2 linked regions of the Lonchura striata genome follow. The protein of the gene in region 2 purifies or fractionates together with the protein of the main gene of each other region. This does not show direct contact. Links are inferred from orthologs where the notes say so. Each region holds a gene or a part of one and is shown on either strand. Other genes may lie near its edges.

Evidence for each region.
Region 1: the proteins of RBSN (region 2) and VPS45 purify together in Homo sapiens (affinity purification with mass spectrometry; 4 studies listed by BioGRID and IntAct, counting the BioPlex papers as one, with this or other methods). This does not show direct contact. The link is inferred for Lonchura striata from reciprocal best matches to the Homo sapiens genes RBSN and VPS45.

Annotation. Positions count from the first base shown.
Region 1 is NC_134635.1:2,747,571-2,751,476, reverse strand, and holds the start of VPS45 (vacuolar protein sorting-associated protein 45), read right to left. Parts: upstream 2,625-3,906; 5' UTR 2,454-2,624; coding exon 2,361-2,453; intron 2,269-2,360; coding exon 2,134-2,268; intron 1,833-2,133; coding exon 1,772-1,832; intron 1,272-1,771; coding exon 1,192-1,271; intron 622-1,191; coding exon 553-621; intron 306-552; coding exon 168-305; intron 1-167. UniProt on the Homo sapiens protein: May play a role in vesicle-mediated protein trafficking from the Golgi stack through the trans-Golgi network.
Region 2 is NC_134614.1:24,100,590-24,104,495, forward strand, and holds the start of RBSN (rabenosyn-5), read left to right. Parts: upstream 1-1,266; 5' UTR 1,267-1,365; intron 1,366-1,701; 5' UTR 1,702-1,767; coding exon 1,768-1,930; intron 1,931-3,187; coding exon 3,188-3,328; intron 3,329-3,906. UniProt on the Homo sapiens protein: Rab4/Rab5 effector protein acting in early endocytic membrane fusion and membrane trafficking of recycling endosomes. Required for endosome fusion either homotypically or with clathrin coated vesicles.

The sequences.
Region 1 (3,906 bases), on a different chromosome or scaffold from region 2:
GAATGCTGTACTGGGAGCGGAGCAGGACATGACCTGCCTAGTGCTGGGCTTCCAAGTAAATGATGGAATTTACAGGAATTGACTGAAAACAGGTGTTTCCCTCCACATGTAAAAAACTAACCAAGACTGAATTCATCCTAAAGGGATGTGCTGTGGGTTGCTCTCACCTTCACACACTCGGCCAAGCGCTTCGCTGGCTCTGAGGAGAGCTGGTACCGGATCATGGGGCACTTCTTCAGGGACAGGAGCAGAGCAGTGAGCCCTTGGGTTGTCCTGGTGAGCTGAGCCGGGTCCCAGCTGCGGCCCTGGAAGGAAAGGCTGCACCTCACATGGATGCACTGGTCCCAAACTTTCCCACGTCCTTGTTTCTAAGCCCTGAAGTCTCACAGGAAAGCACAGCTTCCCTGAAGCAGCAGATACCCAGGGGCTGAACACAAACTCCCTGCTGCTCCTCTCCTTGCCACGGCCCATTCCCCTCCAGCAGCCCCCCAATGCCCCGGGTTGTGAGGGCTACACGTTACCCAGTGCAAGGACAACTCGCCGTGTTCCTACCCGGCAGCAGCCCAGGAGGTTCAGGGAGAAGACGTGTGGGTTCACCGCAATGTAGTCGCCATAGAACTCCTGGGGAAGGCAGCAGGACAGCCCTGTGTCTCTGACCCTGACCCCAGGCACAGCCATGGGCCACCACTGACCACACAGCCCCCTCCACCACCGGGACACACTGGTTCAGAACATCCTTCCTTCCTCCACCCCAAACCCCTCCAACCCCGCTGAGAACTCCCATTGGTACTGTGCATTGCTCTGGTGCCCAGCTCTTCATCAGCACCAAAAATGAGGAATCGTGGAATTACTGGCTTTGGAAAAGCCCTTTAAGACCACTGAGTCCAACTGTCCCTCCAGCACTGCCAAGGCCACCTCTAACCCCCTGCTGCCAAGTGCCACATCCCCATGGATTTGAGCTAGGCAGCACCTTGTGAGACACCAAAACCAGCAGCAGCTGTGAGAGCACAGGGCACAGAGAAATGAGACCTTTTCTACCTTTTACCTCTTCATCCCACATTTGTGTCCATCCCTCCTCTCACCCAGGCCTGGCATGCACCAGTTGGGAACAACAGCCCTCCTGCTCCCAGTGTCTGGCAGCCTGGACCTTCCCTTTGTTTTTGGATCTATCTAAAAACATCCAAACTTCACCTGGACTTCAGCCACGACCTCCTGCTCATCGGCCTCGGCCAAGGCCTTCACATCGCTCTTGCTGATGACGTTGCTGAAATCTGGGAGAAAACAGGGACGGGACAGTGGGGCTCCATGCAGACCCTGTGGGATGGGCAGTCTGATCCCCTCTGGAGCAGGAGCAGATCCCACAGGGACCCTCTAACCCTGCACCTGCCGGTGCTGGAATCCCGAGCCACCTCCCAGGGATGCTCCCAACTCATTCCCTGTCCATCTCCCCAGCGCCTGGTCCCGCTGCGTCCTGCAGAGCCACGATGACATCTAGAGGCCACTTCACCCAGTTCCTGACATCCTTCTGATTAATTCCTGGCCTGCAGGACTGGACTTCCACCCCAAACCAGCTGGAGTCATTCTGCCTCATTCCCAAACTCATGGAACATTCCCTGAGCAGGACATGTGGGAAGCCCCTGCCTGGTACGCTTGGCACAGGAAGGTGCCGTGTGATCTTTGCTGAGGTGTGGAGCCCGTCCCATCCACACTGGGATGAGGAGCCTGTTCCAGGTTGATGGAGCTCCAGGACCCCTGGACTCTGCATACTCACAGATGAAGTAGATGCTGTACTTGGGCCTTCGCAGCTCCTGCACCAGGAGCTCCACGTTCTCCTGGATGGAAACAGCACCAGGAAGAGCAGAGTTAAGGAATACAGAACCATGGAATCCTTAGGGTTGGAAAAGCCTCTGAGATCTTGGTGTCCAGCCATTCCCCCAGCACTGCCAAGGCCACCAGGGACCCCTGTCCCCAGCAGCCACATCCACATGGATTTGAACAATTCCCGGGACTGTGGCTCCACCACTGCCCTGTGCCAAGGCTGAACAACCCTTTGCATGGCCGAATTTTCCCAAATATCCAACCTAAACCTCCCCAGCACCATTTAAGGCCGCTTCCTCCCGCTCTGCCCCGTACCTTGGTGGGCCGCAGGAAGCAGATGGCCTTGAGGTGCTTCATGGGCTCCCTGTTGGGTGAGTCGAGGCGCTCGAAGAGATAAACCTCGCGCTGCAGGATCTCGGACTGGGTGTACACCACGCTCACGGCGCCGGTCTGAGGGCGGCAGGGGACAGCGCCCGTCACGGCCCGGCCCCGGCCCCGCTCCCGGCCCCGCTCCCGGCCCCGCTCCCGGCCCCGCCGCTCACCGTCTCCCGGTCCATCAGCAGCACCTTCATGCCGGGGCCGCTGTCCTCGATCATCTTGGACACGTACTGCCGGACCGCCAGCACCGCGTTCATCCTGGCGGGGATGCTGCGCTACCGGCCTGCCCCTGACCCGCTTCGGCCCGGCTCTGGTCCGGCTTCGGCCCCGCTTCGGCCCGGCTCTGGTCCGGCTTCGGCCCCCTTCGGCCCCGCTTCGGCCGCCTTCGGCCCCGCTTCGGCCGCCTTCGGCCCCGCTTCGGCCGCGCCCCGTCCGGCCCCGCTGCCTGCCGGGAGCTGTAGTCCGGCCGCGGGAGCGGCCCCGCCCGCCGCGGCCCCGGGGCTCCGCAGCCCCGGCCCGTCCTTCCCCTCCCGAGGGACCCGAGGGCGGAGCACTGAGCCTGAACCCAGCCGGACTCGCCCCGCAGTTAAACCCACCCAAACCTACCGTAAAACAACACGAACCCGTTCCAACCCGCGCTAAATGCACCCTAAAACGAACCTAAGCCCATCCTAAACACACACAAACCCCCTCCAGGTCTACCCAAACCACCCCAAACAACCCCAAATCTCGTAGACCCACCCCAAGCTCCCACACACGAGGGAGCTGGGCACACCCGAGGGTCCCCCTGGGGTCCCCAAGGACGAAGGACGTGACTCGGTTTCCCTGAGCTGCTCCTGGAAACCCGGGATGGACAAGGCTGCTGCTCCAGGACCGTTCCTGCCCCGCTAATCCCGGGAGCAGGACGCTGGGATTAGGTGCTATTCCCGGCAGGACAGAGCTGACCCACGGCCAGGCACTCCCCCGCTGCCAAAGCCCTATTTATAGCGGGGGATAACAATTAATTAATGAGCATGTCCTGCCTTTCACTTCCAATTAAGCGGCTCCCCACTTCCTCTCAGAGTGACGGACACCTTTGTCGTCTTTAATCCTTCCATTTCCTGCCAAGATTTTGCTTTTCACTTCCAAACGCTTTGGGTCTTCTTTCTGGAGGCTGGGGAGTTTTGCACATGTACAAACTCCAAAGATTTCAGTGGTTTAAACAGGGATTTACCTAGAAAAATACAACTCCAGTATTTTCTTTCTTACATTTTTTGTTATTTCTTGCCTGATTTTGTTTCTCATATCCAAACTGATGCCTTAAGGAGCGTGTGGATGCTCCTGGCCAAAGGATACACACAGTAACAGCAAATGGTATCAAAAATTGGGATTTAATTGCAGCTGATTGATTTCTAGCCTTATTGTTAAATGATTCAGTGTCTGAAAAGTGCTGGTTTAGTTATTGTCCAGTTTCCTTGGAAATGCTTTTGGGTTTTATTTGTGAACTAAGCAAACCCAGGGCATCATCTCCTCTTTAAATCCATCTTTGTCCTTGTCCTTAGGGAAGACAAACCTCTTCATGTGCCATTTTAATGAAATTAATCACAAACCAAATCTCTGAGGCTTCTTGGTAGGATGTTTACCCCTGGTTTGCAGGTAAAACATTTTAAGCAACTTTTATTCTGCAGAAATTTTACACTTTTCAATCCCCACAGGCCGATTGGTGGGGTG
Region 2 (3,906 bases):
GAGAAAAACCTTTACAGCAAACGCCTGTAACGCACGGCCGAGGCCGCCACGGGCCCTCGGCTGCTCTCAGACGTGCTTGTTGCGCCATCTAGTGACTGCCACGTCTCCCATCCTTCACCCACCCCCTTTTCTGCCCGTTCCCTACACGCTCATGACAAATCGCGCGCATGTAACAGGAACCAGAAAACTGAAACACCAACAGAAACCTCCCTAAGAGCTCTGCGCCTACATGGCTCTTGCAGTTCTTCTAGAGACGTGTATCGCTGTAGCGTTCTTCCACTACTCAGTGAGTTACAGCTCACTGGCCTCAATTGAGGACAAAAGGAGCAAGGAACAACAAAGGCAGCTGGTGCCACTGTGTGGCACAGGTATGGCTCACCGCCAGGAAACTACCCGGCTCCAGCAAATCCAGGGGGATGACACCACAGCACGTGAATCATCGAAGACACTGAGCCTCAGGCTGCTTCTTTTCTTCCTCACCCCATCACGATCCGTGCTGAAAAGGTTTTAAAGGTCATAATATGGAAGGTAGAAGTGCAGGGCATGATGAGTCAAAGTCCACCTTTAATGGACAGGTCTCAAGTGTAAATAGCATCGCCACGTAAGAAAATCTCTGCCTCCAAGAGCTTTAATCCTAACACACGAAGCCGATGTGTGATTACACACTCCTATTGTTTCTATTTGATTGGGAGTGTGTGAGAGAAGGGACTGCTGCCAGCTCAGACTAAACAAAAGCTGGCATCAGAAAGGGGACACGAAAAATGCCCTGCCGTTGATTTACATAGCTCCTTGTCAGGAGGCAAGTAGTAGGATTCCTGGGCTTCTTTGTGGCTAAGTACGTCACCGGATGCTCTAGTTTGCAGTTTTGGGACACTTCCTTTAGGAACGTTCAGTAGGCTGGGAAAGGGAACGTTGAGCGTGTTGACATTGGCAACGGTGCTCCTCTTGAACGTGCCCAGCGATTAGGACACACAGCATAGACCCACCAGTGCTATGGGAACGGCCCCAGGGCACCGGGGAGGGACGCATGTCCCCTACGTGACAGCGCCGTCCCGTCCTGGAGGGGACTCTGTCACCGCAGCTCTGCGGGCTCGTTACCCCGGGCTACTGCGAGGCGGCTGGACACGGCGACCAGCGCCGGCCGCAGAGACGCCGCTGCCGCTGCCGCCTCCCAACCGCCAGCGGCAGCGCTGCGCTCGGCAGCCTCCCCGCGGCGTCGGACGAGCCCTCCTTCTCCCCGCCCTTTCCTCCCATCCATGGCTCATCCCTCGCCCCGCCCTCCGCCGCGCTCTGCCGCTCCCGGCAGCCGGGCCGGGCCGCGGCCGCCCTGTTTTGGAGATAGTCACCGGCCGCCCGGGCGCTGAGGTGAGGCGAGCCCTGCCCCAGGCTTTTCCCGGGCCGTCCCTGGGCTGCCGCTGGGCCACGGACCCTGAGGCAGCCGGGGCAGCCCTCAGCGGCCTCTCCCCAGGCGGGCGGATCGCCTCAAGCCCCGCTCATCTCCCTGCGCAGCCTCTCTCCTGCCCCGGGCGGGGCGGGGCCGGGCCGCGGAGGGACCGGGCGGGGAGGAACCGGGCGGGAAGCCCCTGGAGGAACCGGGCGGGGGCCCGGCGGGAAGCCCCTGGAGGGGCTCGCGCCCAGCCCGGGCCCTTCCCGCCGCATCCTGCGCCGCGGGTCACACGGCCCTGGCCTGGTTCGTTTCAGGGAGTGCCTAAGGACGATGCGGCCCCCGCATCCCTGCAGTCGGTGAGGGCAGCAGGCGAGGCCGCGATGGCGTCGGGCTGCCCGGCGGCCTTCGGGGACCCGACCGAAGTGCGCGAGGGCTTCCTGTGCCCGCTGTGCCTGAAGGATCTCCAGGCGTTCCGGCAGCTCCAGGCGCACTACGAGGAGCAGCACCCGGGCGAAGACCGGGACGTCAGGGCGCAACTCCGAAGTAAGGGCGGCCGCGGTAAATGCGTTCGGCTTGGCCGTGGGAAATCCCTGCTCGTACTTCGAGTGCTCCCAAATGTCTGACAATAATAAAATATCAATTGGAGGGACTTACAGGCGAGGTATGCAGTTCCATTCTTCCGTAAATCTCCTTGGGCCAAGCATAGTACTAACCTTCTCCCGATACTTCCCATAAATTATTCTAAAGTAGGCGCTAAAGAACATTGCTCTACAAATGTCTGCTTTTATGCACGAGTTTTACTGTTGATCTTTTAGGCTTTTTTGTTTGTTTTTACTTGAAAACTCAAAATTATACTAACCCAGTGAATACCCAAGATTTACTTGAAGACTGTGGAGAATATGGGGAATCTCTGGTACTTACCAGGTTCCAGTTCATTAATCTCTTGTTTTGACAGTAGATAAAGCTGTGGTTGCAGTTAAAGTGTGAAGTTAAGAAAGGTTGTTATTGGAAAAACATGGAAAAGCATGTGGGTGGTGGAACTAGCAGGAAGTGCTGGGAGTGTTCCATATCTGTTAGGGAGTTCCACCCTTCATTAGTATTTGGAAAATCTCTTTGAATTTTGTTTCACTAAGATATTTCCCTTTTTTTACCCCCCTTATGTATACAATGTCATTTTATATTGAGAGAAGAATGTTTAAAATGTTTAAAATCTGGCGATAATTCTCTATGTTTCCTGCAAACTCTGGTTTTAGTATGCTAGAAGTACTGGCCTCGCAGTCTTGATTTGTTTTTCTCTTGAGATAGACTTTTGAAGTACTAACCAATTTTCGTGGTGAAACCCTAACACTGGGCTGTTTAGTACTTGAAAAAGTCTTTATGTGTACAAGCACACTGAAATTGGTAGCTTGTGCAATAAAACAAGGAATGTGTTGGACGTCCTTGAATCTGAAGAAAATAATAGGGAATTTTGAGAATTAAGATAAAACTATATGATGCTTTGTGCAGTGAGATAGGTCCCATAGTTTAAGACATGTTGCTGTTTTACAGTGAAGTCTGACAATGGAATGTTTTAATCTACTGTCTTGTCCTTAGGACCTCATGCTGCTTTATGACAGACAGCAGAGAGCATTTTGTGTCATCTGTGTTGCTCTGAACTGCATTTTTGTTCTAAGAATGTTTTGAGGATAAATTTATCCAGAAGAAAGGTTTCTGCTAAAAGAAGATGAATATACTGGCTTCACATGACAAATATTTGGTGACTACCTGATATGTCAGATAACTTGGGTTTATTTTTTTCAGATCTAGTCCAGAAGGCCAAAAGAGCAAAGAAGAAATTGCTGAAACAAGATGATGACAGAACTGATTCTGGATCTCAGGAACGATATGAGTCATTCAGCTATGGTGGAGTAGATCCATACATGTGGGAGCCCCAGGAAGTAGGTAGGAGAACTGGAAAGCAATACACAGTGGGAATAAGTTTTGATCTGAATTGGGAAAGTGCTACAGTATTGCCTAAGTGGCTTGGAATTGTGTCTGTGTTCGCTAGCAGGGGGTTATGGTTTGCACACTTTCTTTGAGCAGCCGATCCCTTGGGTGGAGTGTGGGGAAAACACAGTTAATGGGGAGAAGAAAAGACATGTATAGAGTCGTTACCCGAACTACCCTTCAGGGAGCTGTTAATCATGTTATTGTTGCTGTCCTGCTGAGATCTGCTTAATCTGTGTTTACCTCTGTGCAACTAGCTTCATCTTGTCACTTTACAAAAAAGATAATCCACTCATTAAAAGTTATAAGTATATAAAATCTCTAGCTTTTGGGCTACACTTAAAGTAGTTGTTAGTTTGCATGTTTGACAAAAACATTATCTAACAATTTAAACTGTCAGCTTTTTCCTTGGATTTGAGGTGGCAATCACCTCTTATTAAAATGGGGTTTACTTAAAAAAAAAACAGATTAAAAAAACAAACAATAAACAAACTCCACTGCTCTGAATATAAATCTACATTTGTAGAGTTTCA